Schizosaccharomyces pombe: one gene and its partners. The protein of the gene in region 1 binds, or shares a complex with, the protein of each later gene. Each region holds a gene or a part of one and is shown in the gene's direction. Other genes may lie near its edges.

Region 1 (7,581 bases):
TCCCTTTCAAATGGTTTGATGTATCGATCATAGCAACGAGTGAGAACCTGCCTCACTTCTTTAGTATCTTCAAGACGCAAATAGATTATGACTTTATGTAAAATTTCATTATTTAATGAAGAGCCGGAATTAGTAAACTTTGAGATTGCATTACGCAAACGCAAAAAATCAACTGGGCGATTCCCGATAATCGGTGGGTGATAAAAATATAAACCGCGACTTTCATGAAATGCTTTAAGTTTCTTAAAATAATCATAATTTTTTTCATAATTGAGACAACCTTTATTTAAACATTGGCGTTTTGACTGAAACTCAAAAGCGCCTTGATCAAGAACAACAGGTATTTGCCATCCCTCAGGTGGCAGAAGCTTAATTGCTCCATTTTTGAAAATTGTATGCCAATTATCTAACAAAAATTTAAAGGGATCAGTCATGTTCGAAGCATTCAACTGCACTGACAGTCCAGTTGAAAGTCCAAATGGCCTATTTGACGCGCGATAATTTTTGTCATTATGGTCACAATCAAATTTCAGATATGGTAATGAAAAGTTATCTCCTAGCTTTCTTATTTTCTTCTCTCTTCCTGATCCCATAGAATTATGTTCGTGCCACAAAAGCTGGCATATCATGGAAAACGGAAAAGTGCATAATCAATATACATGGAGAAATATTTAGAAATGCAACACCACCCTGTTTTAAAAATATATACCAAAAAATTTTACAACTTTTAAAAAATATTCTAATAAATTACATAAAATAAAAAACGCGTACATTGATGTATTTATCGTCGATAACACACCGTTATGGGATCGACACGACAGTATTAGGTGGAAGTAGTAGCTTAAAGCTTCAGATCGACATTAACGTAGGTACAGCTAAGCAAAACGTACTTTAATTAGTACTCCCTGTCGTGCTATGGCTGGAAGATCCACGAGAAAAAGATTTTATGCCAATTTTAAAAGTTTTTAACCTAAGGAAGTTTCCGAGTATAATCAAATCCAGTTAAAGCTTGACAATATCCTGATACATTATCCTGCGAACTAAGGCAGCACATATACTGTATAACTTGAAGCATATCGCTGTCAAGGTAGAATTTATGGTTTCTTCACAAGAAAATGAAATTTGCTGGTTCCTGCCACCAACTAGTAACACGAAGCACATCCGTTTTTATTCATAAATTTTTGCTTTGAGGAACAAAACAGTTGAAATTGCATTAAGACATCAATTAGTAGCACAGAAAAATCTATTATATGTGATTCCAGCTGCATACTTTAAAAGTTCAAGTAAAATTGAATATCATTGAGTAATAAAGACAATACAATAAAGGCTAAAACTTTGAAAAAGTTATATTTCTTTCATGCAGTCATTAATGCTGTTTGAATTGAAGAGCCAAGTGAATTTTCCATGATTAAAAAGAAGGATAGAAATTGTCGACGTAAATTTAGTGTCTTTTACTTTTTTTTTCATTAGCGATCATGCTTCCAATATAAACAAAGTAAATTGTAGGTAATGGTACTCTTTTAGCGAGATATTAGGAGTAAGGAATTTCAAACAGAAAATGTAAGGCTACACTATTGTAAAATAAGAATATTTTATACGATTACCACGACTCGTAAATTGGGATAAAGGAAATGTAAGGTAGAAACTTTCGAAGATTGGTTACAACGAATCCATCCTTTTAGTATAAACCAATATTTCGACGAAGATATAATTTTTTTAATATTTAGTATCCTTCTACATTACTAATTATTTGCCAAATCAGTTTAACACATTTTTCTTTTACAATACGTACTTCATTTGATGCAAAGTTCACCGTGCAATGATCAATCAAGGGCTTTTTATTCGTGTTAACAATTTTCAATTACTTAAAGCTAGTTTAGCTTATAAGAAAGCATCAAATATTCTCACTTTCCCTCCTATTCGTACTTCTACTAAACATGGCGGTGGTTCATCGAAAAACACAGGTGATTCTGCTGGTCGTCGTCTCGGCATAAAAAGGTCTGAAAACCAATTCGTTAGGGCTGGTGAGATCCTAATTCGACAACGTGGTACAAAATTTCATCCCGGAGATAATACCGGTCTAGGTAAAGATCACACAATATATTCTCTTGTTTCCGGATATGTTAAGTTTTTTCAAATGGATGTGTCTCTTCGCAAACGGAGGAAATACGTCGGTGTTGTTTTTGACAAAGAGACAACGTTACCAAGGCCCAAAGATGAACCTACAATTCGCCGTGTCAATAAGTATATAACTTCTGCTAATTCTGCTCAAGTTTCATGAAACCATGCGGAAACTCTCATCATCATACCTGCAATGCTCACTATTTAGAGATACTTCAAAAGGATATACTAATAATTACATGCATCAATGCCTTTGGATTTCCTTCAACTTAAGGTTGCACGAAATAACATTTTCTTCTTTTTATTATTTATTTAAACTCCCGTCACGGTCATCGTAGTTTATTACTGTCTAATGCTCAAAAATGTGAATGCATGATTAAATTTATAACTTATTTTGTTACTTTGTCTTGGGCGTATACAAGTTTGCGTATATGTCTTTCTTTTTCTACTGATTTATGCTTCTATTTTTTTCCACGCGAATAATTTGATAATTAAGCATTGTATATGTTGTTCTTAAACTTTCAAGTTTTTTCAACAAATATTTATAATTCGTTTCCAAAAAGTTAGCGTGTAAAAATCGCATTTGCCACGGTTTAAAAATCATTAAAAAAAACTGAACTTGTACCATATTATCTTTTCTGACATAGAATTCAGAAAGTTTTGACCAAACATACAGAAGGTTATTCTTTTTTTACATTTCATTTAAAAATTATTTTGGGCATTTTGAAGTTAGACTTTTAAGTATATCACCTACTATATAGTACCACACCTACTACAACGCAGTGCGTTATATTCCTTTATGTGCAAAAATTGTTGCAGTGTGCTGAGAGGTTTTATTGTTCGGAGTGCTAGCCATTACAAACTTCTAGTTTTGAATCCATTCACGCCTAAATTTTAACAATCGATTGCTAGTCAATTTGCTTACGCATGCTTAAATATAAAAACTAACGAGATAGCTTTTTTATACACTTTTTTCTTCACTTTTCTGTAGGCTAGCGGTATTGCTCTCAAACCCTTACTTTGCATACTCCTTTTCTTTGAAGTTCGTCTATTTAGTAGATAACCATATAATGCCAACCTGAATGAGCTTGAATGAAATTGCTCACGATCAACCTGTCGAAAATGGTCCTTTGTATTCTGAGAAGCAGGACCATACGGCAGTTGATTACGCGCTTCACATACTTTTCACCCAGTTTGTTCGACTCTCTGAACAAAAAATATCATTTCTTTCTCGTTATCATGCCAACGAAGGTAAGAATGCTGAACCTGTACGATTCAACGTTGGAGAGCAAGAAGCTATCCTCCTTCTTAAAAAGGGGGAAGATAATGAATTTGACAGATGTATTCAAGCTCTTGTAGCTTTAGCTAGTAGCAAACCGGTTGCCGTCATTGAATCCCTATTGTGTTGGAGAAAAGTTCGTGTTGATATTACAAGTTCAAGTGGTACTCCTCGGGTTGTTAATGAGCGGAGGAGTTCTATTTCTATCTATATACTTTGCCGTGTCTTGACTGAGATTGCTGAAACGATACCGTCAAATGCCTTAGAAGAAAGCACTGTATCTTGTTTATTAGAATGCGTTTTTCATCAGCTACTAAGCGCTAAAAATTTACCAGTTTCGTCATCCTATTTCAGTCTTGCTAATTGGGAAAGTTTTGCATTCCTTGTGGGAAGTATGTCTCGATTTAACTTCGTCATGGTATCAGATCGTTTTATTGAAGAGATTGAGCATTTGGAAAAGTCTGGCTGTGATTCCAGGCAAAAAGAAACGGTTCTTGTCCATCTCCTTAGAGCAATGCGTTATTTGCGTTTGCAGCTTTATCCAACAACTCTTTTAGAAGAGTCAATTGCTTTTTTGCAATCATTGACTTCCTTTTTCATGAAAGCCAACACAGCCTTGAAAATCGAATATGCATATCTTATGGAACAGTTGCTTCGACCATTAATCAGTCGAGCTACATTTGAGGTGAATATTCCTGCGTGGTCGCGCACCATTGAAACAATATATCCTGTAGTACTGAAAATGTGTACGAAAACTAAATACTGGAATGTTTTTTTCCCTTTTTGTTGTACACTTCTATGTCTTTCTCCCAAACAGTTCTTCCTTAAGCATTGGATATCCTCCCTTGATGCTGCTTTTTTTCGTGTTAAAGACAGACGATTAAGGAACACCGGTCTACCCCATCTTTCTCGTGTTGTATGGACTTACTCTAATCAGTATAAGGAAGAACCTTCCATAATGAATTCTAATATTTCTAATATTTTGAAATCGGGATTTTCGATTGGCAAAAAGTTTAGCGTGGTTCCATTCGCCACTTTAGAAGAATTGGATGGTTATGCACAAATTGTGCGTGTAGTCGGTGCTCATTTTCCAGAGCTTGTCATCAAAGAGATTTTAACACCTTTGTCTACTGATGCTTTTACCGAGAATATTGGCCCTGAGAAATTAATGATTGTTGTTCGGTCTGTTTATTACATTCTGCACGACATGAAGTACAAAAAATCGGATAGTACTATATTCGAATATATTGAATTTGAGTTCGTTGATTTACATGAAGTTGCCGTCGGAACTCCATTACAACAATTTGTTCATAATCTTTCGCAAAAGCTTCTATTCCTCGTTTTTCAGCTCTCCACTAATACCAACTGTTACCTTGATTCAAAAAATGCAACCAGTTTGCTTGCTTTGTACATTAATGCACTCAAAGTGTTTCCTTGTCTCATGGGAAAATTAGAACAACGTGTAATTGATGCATATGTTAAGTGTTTGAATTGTTCAAACAAAATAATCCATACTGTTTGTCATAACTCTTTGATATACTTTTCTTCTGGGCTTAAAATGTCGAAGTCAGTGATATCTTGTCTTTCTCGGAAATTGGTTAAGGGTTCAGAGTACTTGTTACGAACTTACCATGAAGTTATTAGAATTTGGATCAGTCAGCAAGAAGCAGTTATTGAAAAAAGGAATTCTGTCCTTAGTAATAAATCGTGTGCAAGTTCTGAAAGCAATACTCCTGCCTCTGTAAAACAAGATTATGATGACATTCAAAGTTGGACGATAATTGAAGAAATTCAATCACTTGGTGTACTTCATTTATCTTCACCATCAGTTGGAATCCGTAAGTTTGCAGTGGCTTTGCTTAATGATGTTAAGCAATTAAATACGGAGTATTTGATGCTTTCTTCAGATAAAGTTGAAGTTGGTGACATATATTCTGAACCGACAATTGTCGATGTTCTGAAAGATTGCGATTCTTCAATTTTGAGTGTCGAAAGTCACTTACCGACTGCTGCTGAAAGGTCACGATTGCGCAAGTTTATCAACGATGGAACCAAGGATATGCTTTTGAAACTAGCTACGTCAAACAGCGGCGTTGACATTTCAATATGGTACAATGTATTTCCTCGCTTTATAAAGGTTTGTTTTGAAAGATTTCCTACCACTATGGCATTGCTTAGAAATACTGTTTGTGAGAAACTTCCGAGTATTACTATGCAATTATTATCGCGTATTGAATCTTCGGAATTAAACTTTAACTTGAAGTCTGCTGTAAAAAATGATAATTTTCCTGAGTTTTTATTAGTTCAGTGGAAGCTGTACCTTATTGTTGCATGTTGTACAATTACATACACTTCTAACGTGGATTATTCGCACACTGACCTTAGGAGGACACTTACTGCTGTTCAATCTGGAAACCATTTACGTGGTTTACAGGAAACCATAAAGATAACTAGCGCAGAAAGTCTTTTTAGTATGGTATTGCCTCTCATTTTTACTGAATTTTCTCCTATACGTGAAGCTGTTGTTTTTGCTATTGGCTGTATAAACGTAAACGCCTTTCCACAATTAGTACGTTCTTTGAAGCCGTATATATCTGTGCTCAAACAGGATCATCAAGAGTTTATTTTTGCAGGCTTAAACTTCCCTTCTGTGAAGCGCCGTAATAAACCTGATTTGTTATTGCGATCTGAAATAGCTCACATTTTTGCAATGACATCACATCTCTTATTGCATGAGTTATTAAATGAAGACCGTGAAGCGTTGTCTGTTATATCTGAATTTTTGAAAGATTTAAAGGGATTTTTGAGTACTCCTAATGTCCAAGCAGATGAGAAGTATTTGAAATTAAGGTGCTACTTTTCTCAATTACTTGAGAAAGTATTACTGGTTCAGAATTTGCATCCGTCGTCTGAGGTTCTTCCTTTTTCGGGACGTGCTTCGTGTTGGAAATTATTGGATGAATGGACTGGATTTGGTCCTGCTCGTGCAATTACAAAAAATCGCGAAGAGCTAATGAGAGCTCATATACGCGGTAACAATAAAGATATTCGTGAGCGTGATAAGTTGTTAGCTTCATTTGAAGCTGGAAAGCAAAACCTCGAGTATTTGGCTATTAAGGCAATGATCGCGTTATGTACAGCAAAGCTACAACAGGAATTAACTGAAGGAGTGTTTTTGTTCGACATAGAGATACTGCTTAATTGGTTTACTGCTGTCTTTGGTTCTCCCTCCAAGGCTATAGTGGGGCTGGCTAGAAAAGGCCTGACCGCCTTATTATTAGAGAATAGCAGCAATGAAGTATTGCTGCAGAAGGTAATCAACCGTTGCTTTTCTAAAGAGATTTCGCAGACTATTTCTAATTACTATTTCTTGTCGCTTTCTGAAATGCTTATTCAAATAAATCCAAACAATTTGAGTAAACCAAAGCTTTTGCCCTTGTGTTTGGTAAACCTTTCCACGAATAATCTTTCGGTAAGGCTAAAAGCATTTGAGTTACTTGGAAATTTTCATCTAAATAATTTTACTATGACTGCATTGATGGAATTTAAAACATTCTTGGAATCAAGCAACCCCGCTTTATACTTGAAACCTCAATACTTATTTTCTGTACAGCTTGCTAGCGATTTTACTGAAGATTCATTCACTTTAACTTCAGAATGTTTACGTTATTTCAATTATGGTCATCAACATAGACGTGGACTGGTGACGGTTTTACTTCCGTGGCTACAAAATTTGGAGCTAAAGATGGATGTTGAAAACAAAACTTTCGATTCTTTTACGGCGGTAATTCTAATTGATTTGATTGAAGTCACTGCAAAGTTTACTAATGATTTACCTAACGAAATTGAGGCTTTATGGACCTCGTTAGCTCTTTCGCGTCACAAGTCGAACTGGACCGTAATCTTATTTTTTTTAATGCAACAGTGTTACCAAAGGAAAACTTTTTCTTTTGTTGACTGTACAAGACAGATTACTATTTATCTCGCGAAAACAGAACTTCTTTCTGATCTTTACTCTACCCTTCTGTCTTTTGTTTGTCCTGCTAATGTATCGAATGAAAACCAAGAGGTTTATAAATTTAGTCTTGAGGATTTATCTTCAACTTATGTTGCAAATTTAGAGGATTTGTTTCCCAGTGAAAAAAATCATATTTCCTACTCCCCGTGCCAGTTATCTTTAC
Region 2 (7,668 bases), on another chromosome or scaffold:
GAACTGCTAACATTTATAACCTTTTTAATGATTACACTAAATCTTCACCTATTGCTTTTCACTTACTTTAATGGTCATTCGATTCAAACTTATTTTATCTAAATCTATTACCTTTTGCCAGTAAAATACTGTATAGTTAGTTAGCAAAGAATATAGGCGAGTAAAGCTCTAAACTATCATACTTCTAAAATCAAAGAAAACCAAAGAAAAAAGCAGATGAAAGAATTTAGTAACATCTGGATTTTGAGTAATAAACTGATTGACCTAACTTATTGACAGGTTGTGCGATATCAGTTGGTTTGCCAAAAACAACAATAATTGAAAATTTATGAATGGATTCACCAGAATATTAGCCTAATTGCTTTTTGATTCATTTAAGGAAATTCAACTTTTAATTTGAAATCAGCGAAAGCCGAAAAAAGGATGGTATGAATTTGAAATATTTTTTAATGCGAGCAGGTAATATTGACTTTAATAATAAAATAAAATAAAATGTCATTATAAATGCGATTTGAGGATTTAGTAGAGATATGGATAAAACAGATATGAACCAAACTGCATGAATATTAGGAAATCAAGTTGTAAATATAAAACAAGCATTTTTAAAAAAAAACAAAAAATATTACTCTAAAAATGTTAAGAGGTCAATTTAAGGTTTGTTTACTCTCATTTGTTATGGTGGTAATAGTTTCAGTCATGCATCATCGAAATGTAAACAAACAGCGATCCTATATATACCAAAAACAACAACCATTCCTTTCCATCACACATCTTTTTTGAGATAAAATGAACAATTCAAAACTCTCTGTCCCCGGACAGTATGAAGATGAAAGCAGTACTATATATGTAGGAAATATAGATTCCCGACTTTCTGATGAAGAAATCATCAAACACTTTTCAAAATATGGTATGAACACACAAGTCAAGGATAAAAACACGAGGAAAAACATTAGAAAACATAAATAAAAGCGATATATTAATCAATTCTTTAGGACAAGTAGAATCCATCTTTCGTCGATTACTTGATAGTTTTTATCCTAAGGAAAAAGCGAAACCTTTTAAACCTCCTAAAAATGGAGTGCAATATGGGTTCGTCAAATTCGTTAATGCTGAAAGCATTGAAGAAGTTCTAAAGGACGCTAAAGGAATGACTCTGGGCCAAAGAAAATTGTAAGTGACTGAAGGGAAAAATTAGAGACAAGCATTACAGAAAAAAAAATCGAAAAATCATTCTCCAAAAAATTACTAACCTAAAAAAAAGGACCATTAAAGCAAGAGTCGTAAATCCTGCGAAACTGACAGACAAAAAATTCAAACCTAACGATACGTCAATCACTGCGAACGTGTTCAATCCTAGCATCCAAAACAATACAGATGAGGAAAACGTTAAGCCAGGACTCAAACAGTCTCAGATTAAGGAATTTATTCCAAATGTCGAAGAAAGAAATTGGGAAACTGTGAGAGGCATAAATTCGCGTAACCCGAAGCCAGAAACAACGCTTACCATACCGTCTCTTGGTTTGGAAGATATTAGCATGCAAGTTGTACCAAATGCCTTCGCTTCTACGTTACCCCTTAGTATCTTGAACCTACCTGCCGAAGTCACACCGATTGACTTATATAACCACTTTAAACAGGCTGGTGTAGTAAAAGGGACGGCGGTCAGCCAGTTTCTTGACCAAAGAGGGTTCCGGTATGGCGAAGTGATTATGGATTCAGTTGAATCATGTCAAAATGTAAGCTCAATATGAAGAGAAAACCCCAATATTTGCATAATCTATTTCATGATACTAACCTCATTATTAAGGCAATAGAAAAATTAAATAACGTTCCATACAAAGGAAGCATTTTAGAGGTCAGTATAAAAAATAAAGCCTCTTCTTCAGTGAAGTCAATTCCCACAACGCCGACTGGTGAAAGCTTATGGCCTTTCCCATCGGAAAACGCTAACAAAACTCAAATAAATATCGAAAATGCTACATGTTCGAAGATGACATGGATTATGGGCTCACCAACTAAGGAGAAAAGCCAATGGGGTAGCGTTTCAACTACCGGTGTTTCAAATCAGCAAAATCATCCAGCCGCTTGGAACCCAGATAATAAACCTCAGTCAATCGTGCATTGGGACTCTTTACGTGAAAGCTCTCCAAGTATCCCTAATTCTCCTATTGACCCTTCAAATCTATACGTTAAAAATTTAGATGATACCGTCATCACATGCAAGAGTCAGCTGGAAGATTTATTCTCACCCTTCGGGTCGATTTTGTCTTCCATGTTAGCATGCTATCCAAATTCAGGAATCTCCAAAGGTTATGGTTTCGTAGCGTTTCGTCAAATAGAGGCTGCCGTTAGAGCCAAAGACACATTGAATGGAATGATGGTTGGGAAAAAAAGGATTTTCGTTTGCTTCGCGGAGCGAAAGTCTGACAGAATTCGTAGATTGCAAGCATTTTTTGCAAACAAACCTACTTCAGAACAAACAGCGCAGCAAGACAACAAAGCTTTGTTCGTCAAACCAGAAAGAAGCTCTACTGTTACCATCCGAAAGCCAATAGAGTCTTCTACAAACAAAATCTCTGAGAATCCCACGACCCTTTCAAGTAAGGTTGAAAATAAGAATGAGCCTAAGACTGGTGAAAACAAAGAACCCAGTCAGACAAATGAATATGTTAACTGTAAGCAAGAAAATAAGGAACTTAGTGGACAGTTATCAGGCAACTTGGATATAAAGAAAGAAGCAGGAAAATTGAGCCATGACGGAGAACAAGGAAACTTGTTAAAACCATTGGTATTCCATGCTAACACAAAACTAAATAACCGAGGGTCTGCTAAGATGGGTTCAACAGCCACCAACTTGAAGAAGATACAAGACATGCTTCACAACAAAAAGCTGAGTAATGCATACTTTGTGCCAAGAGCAAGAGCAACAACCTGTACAACTCTTACGTACGTAACAGTTGAGCCCTCACATTTCCAAGATGAGGACTGTAATGAGTCAACGAACATGCTTTCACTTGTCGGGTACATGGACAGCTATCCAGAAGCTACATCCAATATCCAAAAAATGAATTCCTATCATATTAAAGATTCAAATAAGGAAAATTTTTTATCAACAACAAAGGTTAACAACAATTCACCAACAACTATTCAGTTGACGCAGATTTAACAAGATGCGGTGAAGATATAACTATGAAACAAAATTCATAATGCTATATCCCTCAAAACTCCGATGAACAAACTTTTAACTCCTTAAAATATATACATCGTGAACGGATGGATTTGCTAGTATAACCCTACAGTATCTTACAACTACCACAACGTGGAATTTAAACGAAACCGTTTATTTTTAGTCTTTAATCAAAAACATTATAAGGAAATTTGATTTGAAAGATAATTCTTTATTAATTCGAAAGTTGACAGCTGGATCAGATTTGTTTAGAGATTTATGATTTTAGCAGGTTCATTGACTGACATCCAGTAGCTTGGTGACAGTTTGACGAACCAGATTAAAAACCATGAGTTCATTAATAGCGTTAGGTAAACGGCAAACATTATTGTCACATAATGAATTTTTAAATTTTAAAAATCAAAAGGGTTTCTGCAAAAGGTTTATTTCTCAACTAAACAAGAAATCCAATTTTCCCGCTCTTGCGATGACAGTTCCTGAAGCCACAAAATATCTCAAATCTGTGAGCATTTCTGTTCCATATGTTGGGTCTTATATGCTTTCAATTGCTTTAAAAAGTAATCGACGCGCTCCGTCAGCTCGTGGTCAAATTGCCTTTCCTCATCCATTTCAAGAGCCTCCTAAAATTTGTGTGTTTGCTAAAGGTGCAGCTGCAGATGAAGCTTTAAAATTGGGTGCAACCTATGTTGGTGCAGAAGACTTAGTAAAAAAAATTCAAACAGAGCCCCTTGAATTTTCAAAGTGCTTTGCTCATCCCAACTCGGCAGAATTACTACCACAAGTTGCTAAATTATTAGGATCAAAACGTCTTATGCCTTCAATAAAACGAGGTACTATATCAGATGAATTGAAGCCACTCATTGAATCTGCCCTCACAGCTGTTGACTATCGGCAAAATGATGCAGGCTCGATAAATTTGCCGGTTGGAAAACTAGGGTTCAGCGACAAGGAGCTACAAGAAAACATCGAAGCACTTGTATCAAATGTTCGGTTTACTTTGGCCAAACTGCCTGGAAAAGTTAAAGTTACCGTAAAGCATGTTCATCTTTCCGCCTCACATGCTATTGCAATTCCTCTCCAGTATAAATAATGATTAAAATGTTATTGCATGGGAAATTTAGTCTACAGTCTTGTCATTTGTAATATGTATTACATGATTAATTTTGTACAAATTAGTGAAATGTGTAATGATATTTTATCTAGTAAATTTAGAAGCCTGTTTATATTTATTTATTATCATAAACTACTTTTTAAAAAGTATGAATGAAACGTTAGAATACAACATTATGAAAGTTACTCTGTGCGATGCCATTTCAGAACAGGCGATTCCGGAGAATCAAATCTGTTATCACAAGCTGAGGTATCTACGTTTTCAGCCGTAACCCACTGGTGATTTGGATCAAAAAATAAGGACATAGGGTTTCCCATACTCGCGTTTTCAACATCATTATCTGAGGAAAAAGTGTCCGGATGTAGAGATTGGCAAGTACAAAGAGCCTGGTAACATGAATCAACATCAGTAACATATAATGTTAGTTCTAAAAAATCATCTGTGAATTCATTTTCATCTTCGGTAGAAGGAGCTTCATGCAATGTTCCTGACGACCGTTCAAATTTAAGAATGTGATCTAGCAAGGGTCGAATGGCTTCACCCTCTAATTGAACATATACATATGGCTTATCCTTGCTTTGTTTCGCATGAAGAGTAATGGTTTCATATGGAATTTTCCAGCCAGAATTCTGTTCTTCATCAAAAAGGATAAAGCTCTGTGAAGTTACTAATAAAGTTATCAATTTGCCCAAAGGAAAACTTTCCTCATCACTTCTAATTTTATAGGGGACTGTTTTTTCTTCAAAATAAACGATTTCTTGATTTGGCAACAACTTTTCACCATTTTCAACTTTGCGAATTAGGTCCTTTGGAAGTGAGTCAATTTTGGTAATCATAATTACTTCTTGCTTCCAATAGGTATTTAAGCATAAAAATTATTAAAAAACAGTAATAAGGCCACCTCTACCTGATAATTTATTGAAAGAAAAGGTTTACTGTGCGTTGTATTCTTTTGAAGTACTCAAATACAATATCTTCGCATATTAAGCATTTCGCAAAATCGAAAATATATTTCTACTCTTAACCACACGAATTTTTTATAAATTGAACCATTATGCCAAACAGGATATCGATTTTACTCAAATACTTTTGATATGCAATTTTCGTAAATGACAAGCTAGTTATTCATTGCAATTACAAAACAAACTCATGAATATAAATAGTTTTGTGGAAAAAATAAAGGAAAGGTCTAAGGTCTTTATGAAGTAATCCTCGTTACCCAAAAAATTGGGACTCAAAACTTTTGAAATTGGATTTTTTATTTTATATAGTAAACAGATTTATAAGTGTAGCGAAATAAAGCTAAGAATTTTTTAGCAACCAATTCATTGCTATATAAGGTTATACATTGATTTGGATACATGTAATGAATTAGCATCAGTGGATCGTTTCTCTCATAAAGGTGGGTCTTTCTAAAGTATACGAGATTGACTTTCAAACACCAACTTTCCAAATCAAACTTCGAAAGACTTTTTTAAAGCTAGTGACAAGGTTGGAGCAGAAGATTCTCCAAGCCAGTTTTTAGTTAATTAATAGAATGAAAACAAATCGAAAAGTTCAAAAATCAAAATTAGCAAGGCAAGATTCTGGTCATCAGTATATAATTAAATGATGGCAGTATGTGGATGCAAATCCTCCAAGATAATTTTTTAGTGAACAATTTAATCAATAAATTTTCAAAGTAAGATACCATAACATGCATGCAGGGTTTTCTTCAAATATTTTTTAGGACAAAAGTATACTTTAATTTACGCATTGAATTTAAGAATCACTTGTTGCGTAAACTGGAATCGTGGTTGACACTACTTGGCAGCTGTAAATACAGCAAATCGAGTTTGTCAAGTATAGATTTTGTGGCATTCTCCATTGAGTTAGAACTGTTTTCAGGAGATGCAACTTTCATGATATTTCCATGTTGTTTGTACACTTTAGAGGTTGTAAATAAAGAGGGAGTAGCCATTAAACCTTTTTCATCAAATGACAAAGTATAAAGCCAAACAAGACTTTGAAACCAATTATTCATAGGGACACTCCAAATAAAGTAGCGAAAATTGGGAACTCGAGGATGTACATCATTTAGCACAGAGTTAGCTAATAGTTTAACAGCTTCGTCAGTAGTTGATAATTCTTCATTCATTTTCTTGTATACAGGTAGAGAAAACTGAGATATAATGGCTAGAATAGAATCCAATTCAAGTCTTGAATGCCAAGAATTAAACCACGAGTTGGAAGGTGCAAACAAATTTGAGTCAATTTCTAAATCTTTTCCAAACGGATTGGATGCACATTTTTTAATAAGTTCTGAACTAGAAACATTTTCCGGTATTTTCCCACGCAACTTTCTAGACAGAACCAATGGAGAATCTGAGAATACATCTTGAAGGACTGTCGGGACAGAAATCGAAACATTTCTACTCGAAATATGTGATAAGCCACCGCGTGAACTACTGCTACTAAAAGGGGAGGAAAATTTATCTAATTCATCGAAAGGTGAATCATCTTCAACGGTAGCAACTTTTTTAAAGTCAGTATTTTGGAGTGGTGTTCCATCTAAGGAGGTGTTATCGGATGATTTAGATTCAAAATCACTACTTCCTTCCGAATTGAGGGCCACTAAAGGCTGTGATTTAGTCTGAGCAACGGCAGGAAGTTTCATAGAATTAAGATTCAAAAAAACTTGCTGGAGGCGAATAATAGAATAACTGAGATTAGGGTTTTGAGAAAACTTGTTTTCAACTATACTAGAAATAGCCTGTAACAGGTATTCAAGAAGCAGATGATTGCGCGGATTACGAAAAAGAAACCGAGGAGATGAAAGAGATGAACAGAGTTGCATTAATTTGGCACACGTAACGAAACTTAGGTTTTCAACAAATGGTGCAATATTGCATATGGTCAACAATATAACAGGAGATAAACTGCTAAACGGAGATCTCTTCACTGCTGAAATATGAAAGCTAGACTGGAAGGCGTAAGTAATAAAATTAAAATAAACAATTAATCGTGAATCTTACGATAATCAAAAACTCTGCATAAGACATTGGTGGGACTGAGAACCCAAGGGAAGACATCAATGATTGTGCATTCATACAGTTTCTATTTAGTTTTTCACAAAGAACCTTCTCGCATGATAAATAATGAACGATAAAAAGGCAAATGCGAACAAGGCCGGAATGTTCATTGTCTTCACGATATCTAAGTGCATAAAACTGAATAGAAGTTAAAAACTCCGTAGCATAAGGAGAAGTGATCAAAAATGCTCGGAAACGCTGTTTTAAATTAGTTAGCAAATATAATGAACGCGTAACAACATAAATTAAACAACTGTACAAATAATGTAATATATATAAAAGGACCGTTGAACATACTT
Region 3 (7,540 bases), on another chromosome or scaffold:
ACCAACCGCGGTAGAAGACTGGATTCTGATAAATCATCGTCAGAATATCTTTGTACTCTGATATATTTCCTTGAACAATTGAATATATGGCTCAAATTATCATTCCTAATGATACACTGTAATCCACCTAACTTTTGCACTGCCTTTAAGCTTGATGGGTAAATTATGTACGGACATTGTTTGTGATTATATTTTAGTAACTTCTCTGCTTCTCCGAGATCCAGCGTTTTCCCCACATCTGTAATATGCCAACAGAGCATTCGAATCGGGTTGATCAATAGTCGAGATATAAACCAGTGCGAACTGAATGATTGGTGGTAAAGGCTATTTTCAAAATTTCTTTGCATAAATTTTAAAATAAGTTCTTGTATAGCGATTCTCTGTTTCGGTGTAAGCGACTTTTGTCGCTGATGAACAAATTCTGACAAGTATTGAAACAACGTTGATTCATTGTATTGCTGACTATGTAATTTTGTCAGAGCGATTCCTTTCCTGGAACAGAAAAACAAATTTTTCAGATGAGTAGAAGACATAATTTGATACAGACCACCCATTGCAGCTACAGCATGTAGATGGTATCGTTCCAAATGGAATGGATGGGCAAATGATTTAAGAAATAAGCGGTTTGCCTCCTGTAATACAACCATTTTTTTTGCAATCATTAAATAAGAAATCAGACATAAGGTTGGCTTAACCAACAAGCTAGCGAGCAACGTATTAAATGAAGAAGAAAAAGAATTATTGAAAAGTTCTTTTTCGGATAACTCTTTCCTGGCGACGTTAAACTTTGAAACATATAAATCAAAATTTTGGTATATAGTCTTTTCTGATTCAGGAATAGATAATATTGAAATTGACTCGTTAGATATTAATTTATTAGGAATCACAGTTTTTATGCTTCGAGTAAACTTGTAAGTTTCTTTTTTTGTCTCCTCGACATTTATTGTTTCGTATAAAGAGTCAATCATGGCATCCCAAACGTCCACTGGAACAATTTTCTTTCGATTTTTGGAAGATGAATATGCTAATAAAAAAATTTTTGCGACAAATAAGTCATCTTTTTCATTTTCTACAAATGCAAGCAAGTTTTTTTTTAAACCCATCAAGTAAACAGCGTTGTATAGACCTCCAATATACTTAATTGCTAATAAATTTCCTTTCGTGAATTGTTTTGAATGATTGCTTGCTGTGCTAACAGCTGTGTCTTCAAATTTCATGATTTTTTTACCGGATAAATCTTCAAAAACTATTTGAGAAAACATGAAGTGCAAAGGATCAACGAGTAAGCTTGTGAATGCCCAGCATTTTGATGAATTTTTCAACAAAAACTCGTCATTGTGCGAACTAACTTCAACGTAAACATCTTTGAAGACAGTATTAGTATTGATTGATGATTCTTTGAAAGAAACTTTGTCATTGGCGTTGGAAAGTATGGAAGCAATCCTTATATACAACTTTTCAGATGATACGACACTATCGTCAGTTGAAAGCAAAATAACTTTCTGAGCTGAACAGTAAAAAACATCAGTCAAATATTTTCGTATGAAACTTTGAAGAGAAACAAAATGGTAAAAAATGCTTTCAGGAATCAAGCTCTTCCAAATGTATTCAGCTTCATTTATACCAGTTAAGCAATTGGATCGTCTGGCATACCAATAGATAGCTTGAATTGCGTTTACAACAATAGATGTAAGTTTTTGGTTCTTTCTAAAATCAATGACGGGGACTGTAGCAGTAAGGTCATCATGTTTTTTTTTTTGCCAAGTTGAGTGAAATCGCCTATTGCAGCAATTGTTTGAAACAATGACTGAATTTATCAACGCATAGGTGGTTGCTGTAATTTTGAAGAAATCATTAGTATGCTTATAATTTGCAAAAATAACCTCATCGGCCTTCGATATTATTGCTTTGATTGGAAATCTGTCGCGCAGCTGATGAGAAAGCAAGTTCATTACGGGCCGCTCAAAAAGGTGGCTTTCTGGATTTTTTTAGAAAACTATCGTATACTGTTAGCAATCATTGAGTATTGACGACCGAGTATTAAAAATCTAAAGATTTCTTAATTAGTGTATATGAAGGAGAGGACAAGGTAGGTCCTTTGAAGTAGCTTTGTTGAGAATTTAATACAACAAAAAAAACACGCTTAGACGGTGCTTAAATAGGTTCAGTAATTCTTTCCTTTTTTTTGAATTATAAATAATCCTTAGTGAAAGAGAAAGTAATGAAGCACGTCAAATAACAATTTAATCTTACAGATTTACGTGGATAACCCTAAAGACAGTAACGGTGACCTTTTGTTTTACATTGTTTTCTTACTATTATTCGAAGACAAAGCTGAAAGAAAAAATACTTTTAGATTATACTTTCAATTAATTAACTTAACAAGCTTATAAAATTACCACTAGTTAATTGTTCGATTACCACGGGTTAAGAGAAAAGTGCTATCGAAAAGAATTATGAAACATGGATTTGTGCAATTTCTACTGCTGTTATTTACTAAAGTCGAATAGGACACAATCAAGTGGAGCTGTTTATATCGGTTCCACACCAGATCCACCTAGAGTAGGTATTTTGTGCTATTATAGGAAACTAATTTGTTTTAGCGATTGCGGCAACATAATGGGGAAATAGTTGGTGGTGCATCAAAAACTAAACACGGGCGCCCTTGGTCGATTTCATGTTTAGTTTACGGCTTTCCTAACAAAGTGTCTGCTTTAAAGTTCGAATGGAATTGGCAAAATCTGGGAATCTCGAGGTACACTAAAGATTGTGATTTCCGTTCAAAAAAACAAAAAACCATTATGTATTGTCTTAAAGGTTTAAAGCATTTGGTTGACAGTGATACGTGGAGAAGATGGCCATTAAACATCACATTTCTAAATAAAACTGCTTTCAGTAAATGGAATCAACTTGGTAAAACTTATGGTAATATCAATGTATACTTCGACGAAGAATGGTTAAATGGGTTTCACGAAAAAGTAATCCAAAAAACTTACGATCATAAATTATGTTTAAGAAAGACAATATCAGAGCCTGTTAAGTGTAACCTATGCTACGAATGTATCGAATCTGATGAATTGCGGGCTAATTGCCCTTTTACGGATTGCAATTCAATAAATCATTTAACTTGCCTTGCAAGCAGTTTTCTGACAGAAGAATGCCAGGTTCTTCCAATCGAAGGAATGTGTACAAAATGCAAAAGAGTATTGAGATGGAGAGAGTTCCTGTCTACGGTTTTCACTACTTCTTTAGAAACTGACGAACGAGATTTTGAAAGCGAAAATAGAATAGAAATCATAGATCTAGAACTAGAAAAATAGCGCCAATACTGTGTCAGCAATCTCTATAGTTAGTCTTGTTTATTCTACGGCTAGCCCATCGAAAGCAGGAGAAACGTCCATGGGTACTACCCCATCATCTTTCCATGTTTTGATAACATTTTCGATTATCTCCGTATGGTTAATGGCCAAACAAAATTGTGCATCAAATCCGCCGGCTCCAGGAACTCCCACACCAATGACACCAGGCAACTGCTCTATGTTGTCTAAAATATTTGTTTGCTTTAAAGGTTCTATGTCAACCTTTGCTTCAACGGTAATTCTTTGAAGAATACGACGAATGGATCGAAATTGACTTTGAAGTTCAGAGTCTAAGCTTTCAGAAGAAAGAAAACAGTTTTTGATGGAAAGCACTCTTGAATACAAATCATCAAAGCAATTCTTAGATTCCTCTGGATTTTCCTTTTGCCATTGCTGTACTTTTTTTACCATACCCGGTGTGCTACTGCCACCAGCTACGTCCCCCATTAGCAAACAATAAGTAGCAGGCAATTGAAATGGAACAACATCTGACCATTTTTTAGAAACTATTTTTCTCAGTTCGGTGGAAAAATTTATGTTCTTTATTTGTTCGTCGTATGGGACCAGCAGTTGTTCAATTAATTTAGGATCAAACCTTCTATAAATACAACTTCCCCAAGTGGCAGCGCCAACATCAAACCCACTTCCTACTTTTCCTTGTGCAGAACAGTGGGCAATTTGTGCCAGATTGTGAACTATGACTTTGGTTGAATCATCAATTTTGAGAGATTTGTCACCAGTGTCATCTGTTAGTCGTCTAAGACTTAAAAATAATGAACCTATAAGACTTGTAATCATAGCTGCCGAGCTTCCTAAACCAGTCTTATGTACTTGACCTAAAGTACAGTTTAAGAAATTGAATTTTGGATAGCTTGTTTGATCAGGCTTTAACTGTGGTTGGTGATAATAGGCATTATCTACCTGCAATGTAACTTGAAGATCTTGCCAGCATAAAGGTTGTCGCCCCGTGGAAAAAAAGTAGTTAATTACATAAAAAAGTGCCAGTTGAACGAAGGGGTTTGGATTTTTTTCCAATTCACAGTTTTCATATATCTGATGAACTCGAATAGGAGATACAGTCCAATCAATATTATAAAGCCATTCAGCGTTAATGAATTGAGGGCTTTTCACACGAACCGTTCCACATTTATCGTCCAAAGTCGTTGTGGAAGCGTACCCTTTGGCAGTTAAACCAATAACAAGCCCGCTGTATTGAGGATCTAAAACAATGTATCCACCAGCTATAAGTACTTTACCAGGAGCAGAGCAGGTCCTGCCAAAGACGCTAGTTAGAGATGGACAAAACAGAAAAAAAGAAAAAAGACTGGTTTCAACTTACACTTTCATGTTGATATATTTTTGTCTTGAATATGGATATCTCTATAATGTTTTGTGTGTCGTAACTTTTTTATAGGACCTGAGAAGGAAATAGAAAGGAATGTATGACTTCTATCTTACGTGATAATCTGTTGAATTTAGAGAAATGATATATCAGTCAAAGTAAAAGAGAGGATTATCTTCGAACAGTAGCTCCTGAAAAGTGTTATTCTAAAAATCAAAAAAAATAAAAAAAGAACTGATCAAAGAGTATCAAATGTTATACAGAAACTAAAGTTGCTTTGAGTAAATCAACTTTCTAAATCATTATCGTATCGTTCGTTTCGCAAGATTTGCTTGTGGAGAAAATAGTATAGAAAATTAACGTTAATTAAGGAGAGTTCGAAATCAGGAATACAGAGATTACATTAACGCATATTCATATTAGAGTATATAATTGATTGCATATAAAATAATATCTTTTACGAAAATGGAACATTAAGGTGGAAAGAAAAAAGCAAATCTTGCTATTGAAGTTTTCTGAATACCAGCGAGTTATTGATAGTATTATAACTACAATGAGAAGCCATGTAACTGAATTGGAACACGTATATTCATTCGGGTTCAACAGGAATCTTTCTATTGCCTTGAACATTCAAGGTCAGAAACACAATCCTTGATGGATAAATCATATAAAAATATATAATCAACTGTATTAACTTACATAGTCTAATATAGCGTAATGGAAGGTTGACAATAAATAACATATAACGAAATACGTTGTGCAGAATTTGCTAATTCATTTTGAATACCATCGTACTTACTTAAAAAGATACTCTGTAGAATATAGTGTTTTGTCATTCTTACTAACGAACGGTATTTAATGACTTTTGGAAGACATGTTTAATGCCAAACACTTTTTCAATTTAGGATTGGGCTTTCAATGGCTACAAAAGAGAGGTATTGGATCGTTAAAACGGCCTTATAACTTTCCAAAGCCAGTACCAGGTCCAAAGCACAAAGATGTGTTATCATTATTCGAAAAAAAGTGCCGTTCAGTATTGGATGAGCAATCTGAGCGATTCAAAATGTTTCATCGCTCGCAGCCAAATCGAGTAAGACCAGGCGCGGTTTTACTGGTTGAAAGCTACTCAAAATACCCATCAAAAGATTCAGTCAACAGATTTGCTGGTTATCTACTGCGAATTCGGCATCGTGGACCAAAAAGTTCAATCCTGTTACGAAACGTGGTAATGGGTGTTGGAGTCGAATATTTGTTACCAATTTACTCTCCACAAATTAAACGTATTGTTGTCCTCAAAGAAAATGGTCTATCTAAAAGACCTAGAAGAGCATACTTAAGTTACTTGCGTCAACCTCGCTTTCGTCTTCCACCTGTTGAATCACTGGTGCGAAAATACATTGAACAAAATCAACATAAACCTTGACACAATCATTGCAACTTCTGCAAGTAAATTTCTTTTTTTTTGCGAATCTTTCATGATTTTATTCAAGAAGCGCTGTATGATTTATAGTTCGTTTACACTCTATGTTTCCCTATCTACTTGTCTTTTTCTACAGGCTATTGCATTTAGAACTGCATTATAAGAGGCGTTGGTTGGTTTTCTGGAACAGATTTAGAGATTTGGATGTATATTTCGGCTTTAGCCTGTTTGTCAAAACACGTATTATCGATTCCATGAAACGGCAATGAATCACCTCCTTTGAGCCTTTTACCCCCTTCTCATTCTTTGAATCGACAAGTCACATGTCATTGCCATTAATTTTCCCAGATGAATTTGTGAGGCACTATGAATCAAAACCTCTACTTTTTTCTTATAAATTTGAGCTGTATGTAGGCTTGCCTCTTCATAATTCTGCGCTTTGATTATTTTGAATAATATTTGAAATTATTCATGTAAAAAAGTATAAAACTTGAGCTCAACAATATGTTATAAGCTAAAGAAGCAAAGTATCATAAATATAAAAATTTTGTTAGCATGTCGAATGTAGCCGGCTTGTTACAGTCCAATGAAAATTAGTTTTAGTTAGAAATTTTAAACTTTCAGAAAACGAAAAGATGTATAGCTAAAGCCAAATATCAACTGTAAATCTACTAACTCTTCTCTTCTTACGACATTTTGTTTTTCGCCTGAATTGTTTTCTTAATACCGTGGTAGAACGTAAAACATTAGCTAGCAAAAAACACTAATGTTTATTTAATTAGATCTCAAATACAATATACAAAGACTATGAAGGTGAAAATACTGAGTAAGCGAATATTTTGGAAATAAAATTGTTTTCTAACCACTAGGATACCATGCAATTGCTAACTGGACGTGGGATACCCCAAAAGACGACGTTTGTGGTATATGTCGTGTTCCATTCGATGGATGCTGCCCTCAATGCACAAGTCCTGGAGACAATTGCCCCATAGGTAAGAATATGTTTGTATTTATTTCCTGAATATGCTCTGCGGAGGCTTACTTGTATACTTTGCATCCTAAGGGGGTATCAGCATGAAAATTTGTTGCGCAATTGGGTTGGTTGTGTTCAAATAATCTTTAATCTAATATTCATACTTTGTTTTTGTTAAAAAGAGTTTATCATGGGCATCAGCTTTCACAGAATTAATTAAAGGCTAACTACGCTAGTTTGGGGGAAATGCAAGCATATATTTCATGCTCACTGTATTCAAAACTGGTTAGCTACTAGCGGTTCTCAAGGTCAATGCCCGATGGACCGTCAAACTTTTGTGGTAGCAGATTCTACGAATGAAAAGTCTGAAACACAATAAATACGATTGACGTATCGAATAAGACTTCCAAAGAATCCAACTCAATAGTCACGATTATTATTATTAC
Region 4 (7,146 bases), on another chromosome or scaffold:
CCCAATTTGCAATAAGACATTTTGCATCGAAAAATCAGTAGTAGCGCAGGCGACTTTGAGATGTTTGGGTTGAACAAGGCTTTCACCGACGCCATCCTCAGCTTTCTTTTTGCGAATATTTGAAGGAGTAATCCATCCATCATCTTCATCATCTTCCTCATTGTCTTCTTGCTCTTTATTTTCTTCAGTATTCGGATGTGCTTCTTTATTATTGGAATGTTGTGTCGTTTCACCTTCCAAGACTTCGTTCTCTGCGGATTTAGGATCACTGTTCTCAGTTTCTTTTACAGAAGCTGTATCGCTTGATGTGGGTTTAGATGCATCTTCAGTAGAATTTGAATTACTAGGGGGTTTTCCATTGATATGCTTTTGACCAGGATACTTGCGAAGTCTCCAGTCACCACCATTAAACTCGACTTCTAACTCATAAGTCAAAGCCAAAATTTGAATATCGGTTACAGAGAGTGAGGAGTAATCACCGGTTTGCTTTGCAAATTCGGAAACTATAGTTTGTTAGAAAGCTGCTACCAAGAATCAAAGTATTTATGATGGAAGTAGTTGAAAAGAATAGCAGGTGTAAGAAAGCGATCAAATTCCAATATGATTAAGCTTTTTCACCCACCTTGCTTTCACTTCTCAGAGATGACTGTGCACAGAATAAAATCTAGCTGGTTGCTTTCTTCAACCACTATACAACTTTCTTTTTAATAAAACATACCTTTTTTTATAAATTCTGGTTTTGGAACTCTTTGAATTACTTGATCGCCCCAAAGTTCAAAATTTTTCCTCGATGTTTCGTCTCGAATTTCTGCAATCACTCGAGGAATGGTATAAAAGCTTTCCGCAGAATTTCTTAATAAAGTACTAGAGCAGATAATCCCACCTGTATCGAGGACGAGATGAGTAATGCTTTTACTCATTTTGGCACTAGTTTACTCAAACTGATGTTTTTCATAGTACTTACTGCACATGTTTGATATATACGCTATGTTGCAGTAAACAATTTAAGGTAAATAAATCACGAACTAAAGCAATGAAAATATTATAAGAATTGAGAGTTACAATAGTCAGAAAATTTAATATGAATTCCAATGCAGGAGTTTAAAGTGCTTTTATTAGAAAACCGGTATGTAAGTTGAACATAGTGGACTTGAAATTTTAAGATATCTTCCACCTGATGCTTAAAGTTAACAATGAAAAATTTCTATCCATGAATGTTTTTACTCAATCAAGTGACTACCAATGTTTTAGAGTTAAAAATATCTGGTGAGCTTGATAGTAACTGATCATGATCTGGCCATTGCTTACAAATGCTTCAAAGAGGCCGTTCGGTTCAACTATTGAGGCTTTAACTATTCTTTTAATTGTTGCGTCTATTAGTTAGTTTCAACCCTCATTTTTTTGGTATACTATAACAAGTAGCTCGAGAAAATTATTGAAAGAGCACAATGTATTGTTTGCGGATATTTAAAAAGGAAATGAAAGTAAAGTACTTTGGTTGGTGTTTTCTCTTGTACATTATATATTCCCAAAACACCGATTCAAATCAATCGGAACAAATTTATATGGCACAAAAAATTGCAATTTAGTGCAATAGCTCATCGAGTAATAGATCGATGACATAGCTGAACTTTCATAATTATTTTACAGTTCTTCGGGGAAAGGGTAAAATTTAGTCATTTCATCTGAATAAGTTTTCAATTTCATGCCTCATAAGTATTTGCACAAGTATGTCAGTAAACATTAGCGGGTCAAATACCAATTTTTTGCATATAGCATACGCTAAAAAATCGATGAAATCTTTATTGTTTAAAAGTATTGGTTTACTCGTTAAACGCTTCAATTTAGCAAATATGTACATATCTTCGGCATAGTTAGCAAGTAACAAAACCATTTATAAGTTGTGGTAGATTGTTAACTAAGTGGATTCGCTTGTGATAACTTAGATTAATCGAATATGATATCTCGGCTTGTATAATTTTAATATCACCTATGCAATAAATCAGCTTTGCAAATATCACGCCGTCTTATACATAAGAACGTTCACCAGGAATCCAAACTAGTCGTACGCTAAAAATAAATTTTTACGGGTATTGGAGATCTTTTGTTTACTATAGTGCGTTAGTTTGTTCACTGCTTCTGGATAATATATATAATTTTCAATGACTTAAAGACGATGCAATACCAAGTATTACCATTATAAAGAAGAAATTAATATTAAATTTAATCCTTATTAACAGTGTGTCACTATTTGAATACTGTCCTTAGCTCCTCCATCTTTCGTTGTAAACGCATTCGAAAAGGCTTCTTTACAACTTAGACAAACAGTAGATAGAATCAGACCATGCGTTAGTATCATTAGTAATTGTAATGGTCCAAAGCATATAATAAAGAGAGATGGCACTTATTTGATTGCTTTCAAAACAAGTTCTATTTAACAAGTTACTTATATATAACGGAAAGCCAAAAATAAACCGTTTACTAGTAAAGAAACCTTTCTGAATGCTCCTATTATTAAAACGCTTTTAGGCTTGAGTGACATATTCATAGTGAAATTTACGCTCAAATATCTTCATTGAAAGTTTATTCTACTGAATATGCTTAAGTGTAAGTATTTGGTCCTTTAAATTGAAGATAATTATATATGAGCCACATAAATATTATTCTCATGTTAGAAAAAAAAATTCTTGCTTTATTTATTTGAGTATTTCCATATGCTAAAACACTCTGTATCATAAAGTCGTCTTCAGCATTCTCACTTCAAAAACTTGTATCCTTTTCAATACTCCATAATTAATAATAAAATAAAGGAACAAAATAACAATAAAATCGTTCATTATTCATTCTTTATCGCTTGAATTTCCTTCCCATGTAGGCTCCCCTTTTAACCTCTTTACACGTTTATTTTCGTACTCCTCGTTCTGTAGATTCAACTGATCTAATAAGATCCTCTATAACAGGTGGTTAATAAAAAAGGAACTGGTGAATGTAAATTCACGAAAAGCAAATGCACTTTGCAGCTGGTTGCCAAAACTTAAATATTGTAAAACAAGATCAGCACTTTACTTACATAATATTCTTCATTAACGTCGACCTTTCTTCTTCTTTTAATAATGTCTAACTCTGCATCCCGGGACAAGGATTTAACTTGTTCATCTCGTCTGTTAAATTTGACTTGGGAAATGGGGATCAAGCATGACCAGACTAATAATACTGAGCTCAAAAACGGCAATCCAACGTAAATAAACGGACTTTTCTTGGCTTGAAGCCTATACCAACTTTTAAATCGATAGAAAAGCATTTTAATTTATTAACATCCTTACATTCGCTGAAAACGATGGATTGTTAAGAATGTGTAGTAAATAGCAAGTTGGTTAAGATGATTATGGCAAACTTCACTCAGCATGTTAGGATGGAAATTAATAAGATAGTCGTTGGTTTGTAATAATTAATTTTAAGAGTAGAGTTTTAATAGAAATCTGCACTTTGAAATCTTTTTATTTCTACTAATTATTCAAGCTGCATCGCGTGACAGCATTCCTACATAGCCCAAGCACTTCAGGTGAAAACCCTTTATAGTTTTAATTACAATACACATTAGGAAAAAGAAACATATCGATGGCATGTGCTAGTGACAGACTGTGACTTCCAGTAAACATGTGTTTTACTTTGTTTACCATAAAATGGTATGTAAAATGTTTATTGAAAGTAATAAAATAGCTGAGAAAAGACCATTTAATTTCAGCTTGTGATTCAAATGAAATAATCATGCTTTTTAGTTAGGATATTTGCCAATCCCTAAAAACTTAATATATTAATTGATAGTAAGGAGTTAACTTTGAAAAGCTATGTAGCTAAATTTTGGTTTGCTTCTTTTAAACGGCTTCAATTCAGCGCTATTGTTGTTCAACAAATGAAAAATTTTGCGACATTTTAACTAATCCGTATTTGAGATTCAAAAATCAACTAAAATTTTTCAAAAAAATCCTAAAACGAACAACGTTTATGAAAACGTCTTTTCCATTTATCTGAGTTGCCTATTTAATGTCAATACTTTTACTTCTATTCAATCAAGCAGAAGAGAAGGACACATTTGGTCTATTCGGGAATTTTTCTGACTGCTATTAAAAGCTTTAATATTACAAATAAGTAAACACATTACAATTAATTCACCCAAATATTTCAAATTAGTTATTATTCTAATTACAATTATTTTTAAGGAAGAACATGTTACTTTATTGCATGAGAGACATACAACTTACAACTGTATTTTCTTCTTTAACCTTATGGCTTCTACTAGAACGACAATCATAAAATTAATTGTACCGGCAGGAAAAGCTACGCCTACGCCTCCAATTGGACCTGCCCTTGGTGCTCGCGGGTTGAAGAGCATAGACTTTTGTAAAGAATTTAATGCGCGGACGGCAGGTTGGATGCCAAATACCCCAGTGCCTTGTAAAATTACTGTCACACCTCAAAGAACATTTACTTTCACTATACATACTCCTCCAACCAGTTGGTTAATCTCTAAAACCCTCGACCTTGAAAAAGGTTCAAGTTCCCCATTACATGATATAAAGGGACAATTAAGCTTGAAGCATATATATGAAATTGCCAAATTGAAAAGTACTGATCCAAGCTTACAAGGAATAGAGCTTCTTTCTCTTTGTAAAAGTGTCATTGGAACAGCTAAAAGCATGGGCGTCAAAGTCGTACCTTAATCTTATGAGACGCCAGAGCATTTTGTAACTGGTCATACTTGAGGTTATTTTTTTTTCTATCTTGTTATAAACTATTCCCCTCTTTTTTCTTGAATAAAAGCAGTTAATGATATGACTTTTTACTATTACCGACTAAAACGTTGTCCCTGTTTTCTTATTTTCTCCTTTTCTTAGTTGTTTTATATTATTCCTTCGTTAAACAAGCAAAGTAAAAAAACACGTTTGCCATATAAAATTAAAGAATTGCATACCGTTAGTTTACAAACACATCTTAGACTAAATGATTACCTTTAGCATTAAACTATCAATATAGATAACGAAACAGATATGCTAAGCAGAAAAGAAAATGAAGATTTTCAAGTGTGAGTTTTATGTTTACTCTAAGTCACGCCTTATGAAATGCAGCTCAATAAAAGAGAGCCTCAAACTCTGTCTATCTATCAAAAAATAAGAAAAAAAAAACCAAGATTAGTACTGCAGAAACGCTCGAAAATAAAAGAAATGGCTTATGCTATAGGGAGGCATAATTGATGCTTGGCTTGAATAACAGCATCACGATCACCAGTATTTTTCATGATATCGTCACTAATCTTCACTGCTTTAGTTCCTTCAGCGGAAAAAAGCTTAATAACAATATTCATAGGTTTGCTCACTTCACTGGGATTGGAAACTTTTTGGAAGTCGCTGGTAAGATTTGTGCCGATGCCAAATGCAGACTTAATGCCACATTTCTCGCAGTATTTGTACAGTTCGATACATCTGTCAACATTTAAAGCATCGCTATGAACAATTACTTTTGTGGAAGGATCGACACCTATTGATTTATAGTGCTTTACGACTTTTTCAATGTATTCCTCAGCACAACCGCTATCTTGACGAACACCATGGAAAACATTGGCTAAATCGTCGGCAGAATTGGCTGTAAAAGATTTGAGAAACACATCAGTAGAGAATGTATCCGTTAAGGCTATTAAAAGACTAGTACCAAAAGTTTGGACCCACTTTAAGGAAGCAATACGATTTGCTTGTTTATAATTTTGAGTAATAGCTGCAATGCCCATATACCACTCGTGAGCAACCGTACCAGAGACATTTAGATTATATTTGGCGGCGAAGTAAACATTAGATGTACCAAGGAAACTTCCAGGGCCCTTAAAATCCTCTTGTGCTTTCATGAGACCTTGGAGAACAATTTCCTGGGTGTGAGGATCACGACGACGACGAGTGCCAAAGTCAGTAAAGGCACATCCGGCTCGGATGAGACGCTTACCCTTCTCGTAAGCTTTTTCAAACTGACCCTCAGGTGACCAGTCCTTATCGACAAATTTAAAATAAGATTCTGAGACGAGAGCAAGCAGTGGAATTTCATAAAAAATGGTATTCTTCCAGAGGCCGTGAATAAAGATTGAGAGATCCTTAGTTTCAGAATCATAATTAAGGGAAATTGAATTTTCAGGATCAAATTCGAACTCATGCATGAATTCATAAAATGATTCCTTTAAATAAGGACAGTTCTTGCGAAGCCATTGCTCTTCTTCAGGAAGTAAATGTAAATTCCGTAAGCCTCTTATTTGTTCCCGTAACCAGTTATAAGCCTCCTGATTTAATGCCATTTTTGGGGACCGGTTTGTATACTTATATGATACTTGAGCATCCGGATAATGCTCTAAAACGGCTTGAAGCATGGTGAGTTTGTAAAGATCCGTATCGAGGATAGAGACAACAGCCGGTTCACTCATCGTAGCAAAAAGGATAGATATATTTTCAAATTATATATTAATATTGGTTGAAAACCTGAGGTGTATAGAACCCGACGAAACTTTTTTATGAAATCAATGAACGTTTGCCGTTAGCGCATTAAAAACGCAAGGAAATCAAAATCAAATAGAATTAAAATTTAAAGTGTCTTGATATGAAAGATATTAATTATAATTTCCCCTACTAATGTCAATTTCAATCAGAACACTCTTAGTCGCAGGAAATAGAAGTCAATTTTTTTGTGAAGGTTTTCAAAATTTTAAAGGGTTAGGATCTTTTTCAAGTTAGTGTCAATTGTCAAATAGATGTGAAACATTATATTTTATACTACATGCGCATGTTATAATGCAGACTCGAAAAGTATACCCGCCAAAATTGCAGGAAATCAAATTATATTATTTTTAACAAACGAGCATACCTTCAACAAACAATTGTACTACTTTAATAGCCTGTAGCAAACAAAACCAATTTGAGGACGAATCTGATCTTGGTAGATTGACATTTTGTATCTTGGCGATGATTTACTTTTTCAAGTAACATCATGGTATTGTTACTTACTTTTATTTACGATGTTAAAATTGTTCGCCTTTTTATGGCATTAGGAATAACTTTTCAATTTGCTTTTCATTAATTGATAATTGAAACTCAATCTTTATACTGGCACATA

What was found.
Region 2: mrp7 (region 1) and mrpl1 share a complex: the UniProt entries of both Schizosaccharomyces pombe proteins name them as parts of the mitochondrial large ribosomal subunit.
Region 3: mrp7 (region 1) and img1 share a complex: the UniProt entries of both Schizosaccharomyces pombe proteins name them as parts of the mitochondrial large ribosomal subunit.
Region 4: mrp7 (region 1) and mrpl19 share a complex: the UniProt entries of both Schizosaccharomyces pombe proteins name them as parts of the mitochondrial large ribosomal subunit.

Annotation. Positions count from the first base shown.
Region 1 is NC_003423.3:2,856,863-2,864,443, reverse strand, and holds mrp7 (mitochondrial 54S ribosomal protein bL27m), read left to right. Parts: upstream 1-1,683; 5' UTR 1,684-1,819; coding exon 1,820-2,281; 3' UTR 2,282-2,965; downstream 2,966-7,581. Other genes in the region: Lid2 complex histone demethylase subunit Lid2, read right to left, coding at 1-629; morphogenesis protein Mor2, read left to right, coding at 3,204-7,581. UniProt on the Schizosaccharomyces pombe protein: Component of the mitochondrial ribosome (mitoribosome), a dedicated translation machinery responsible for the synthesis of mitochondrial genome-encoded proteins, including at least some of the essential transmembrane subunits of the mitochondrial respiratory chain.
Region 2 is NC_003424.3:1,788,091-1,795,758, reverse strand, and holds mrpl1 (mitochondrial 54S ribosomal protein uL1m), read left to right. Parts: upstream 1-3,307; 5' UTR 3,308-3,515; coding exon 3,516-4,277; 3' UTR 4,278-4,359; downstream 4,360-7,668. Other genes in the region: poly(A)-binding protein Crp79, read left to right, coding at 787-907, 993-1,170, 1,262-1,736, 1,808-3,166; protein saf5, read right to left, coding at 4,481-5,134; ftp105 (Ubp5 interacting protein Ftp10), read right to left, coding at 6,067-7,260, 7,313-7,567, 7,667-7,668. UniProt on the Schizosaccharomyces pombe protein: Component of the mitochondrial ribosome (mitoribosome), a dedicated translation machinery responsible for the synthesis of mitochondrial genome-encoded proteins, including at least some of the essential transmembrane subunits of the mitochondrial respiratory chain.
Region 3 is NC_003424.3:1,636,180-1,643,719, forward strand, and holds img1 (mitochondrial 54S ribosomal protein bL19m), read left to right. Parts: upstream 1-5,515; 5' UTR 5,516-5,575; coding exon 5,576-6,124; 3' UTR 6,125-6,753; downstream 6,754-7,540. Other genes in the region: SPOM_SPAP27G11.14C (uncharacterized protein), read right to left, coding at 1-1,952; structure-specific endonuclease catalytic subunit Slx1, read left to right, coding at 2,464-2,562, 2,604-3,320; erg8 (phosphomevalonate kinase), read right to left, coding at 3,360-4,632, 4,699-4,706; anaphase-promoting complex ubiquitin -protein ligase E3 subunit Apc11, read left to right, coding at 6,929-6,947, 6,991-7,113, 7,331-7,473. UniProt on the Schizosaccharomyces pombe protein: Component of the mitochondrial ribosome (mitoribosome), a dedicated translation machinery responsible for the synthesis of mitochondrial genome-encoded proteins, including at least some of the essential transmembrane subunits of the mitochondrial respiratory chain.
Region 4 is NC_003424.3:3,203,675-3,210,820, reverse strand, and holds mrpl19 (mitochondrial 54S ribosomal protein uL11m), read left to right. Parts: upstream 1-4,280; 5' UTR 4,281-4,286; coding exon 4,287-4,721; 3' UTR 4,722-4,859; downstream 4,860-7,146. Other genes in the region: ribosome biogenesis protein Nob1, read right to left, coding at 1-503, 719-920; cytochrome c oxidase assembly protein Cox16, read right to left, coding at 2,841-2,951, 3,071-3,301; npt1 (nicotinate phosphoribosyltransferase), read right to left, coding at 5,228-6,460. UniProt on the Schizosaccharomyces pombe protein: Component of the mitochondrial ribosome (mitoribosome), a dedicated translation machinery responsible for the synthesis of mitochondrial genome-encoded proteins, including at least some of the essential transmembrane subunits of the mitochondrial respiratory chain.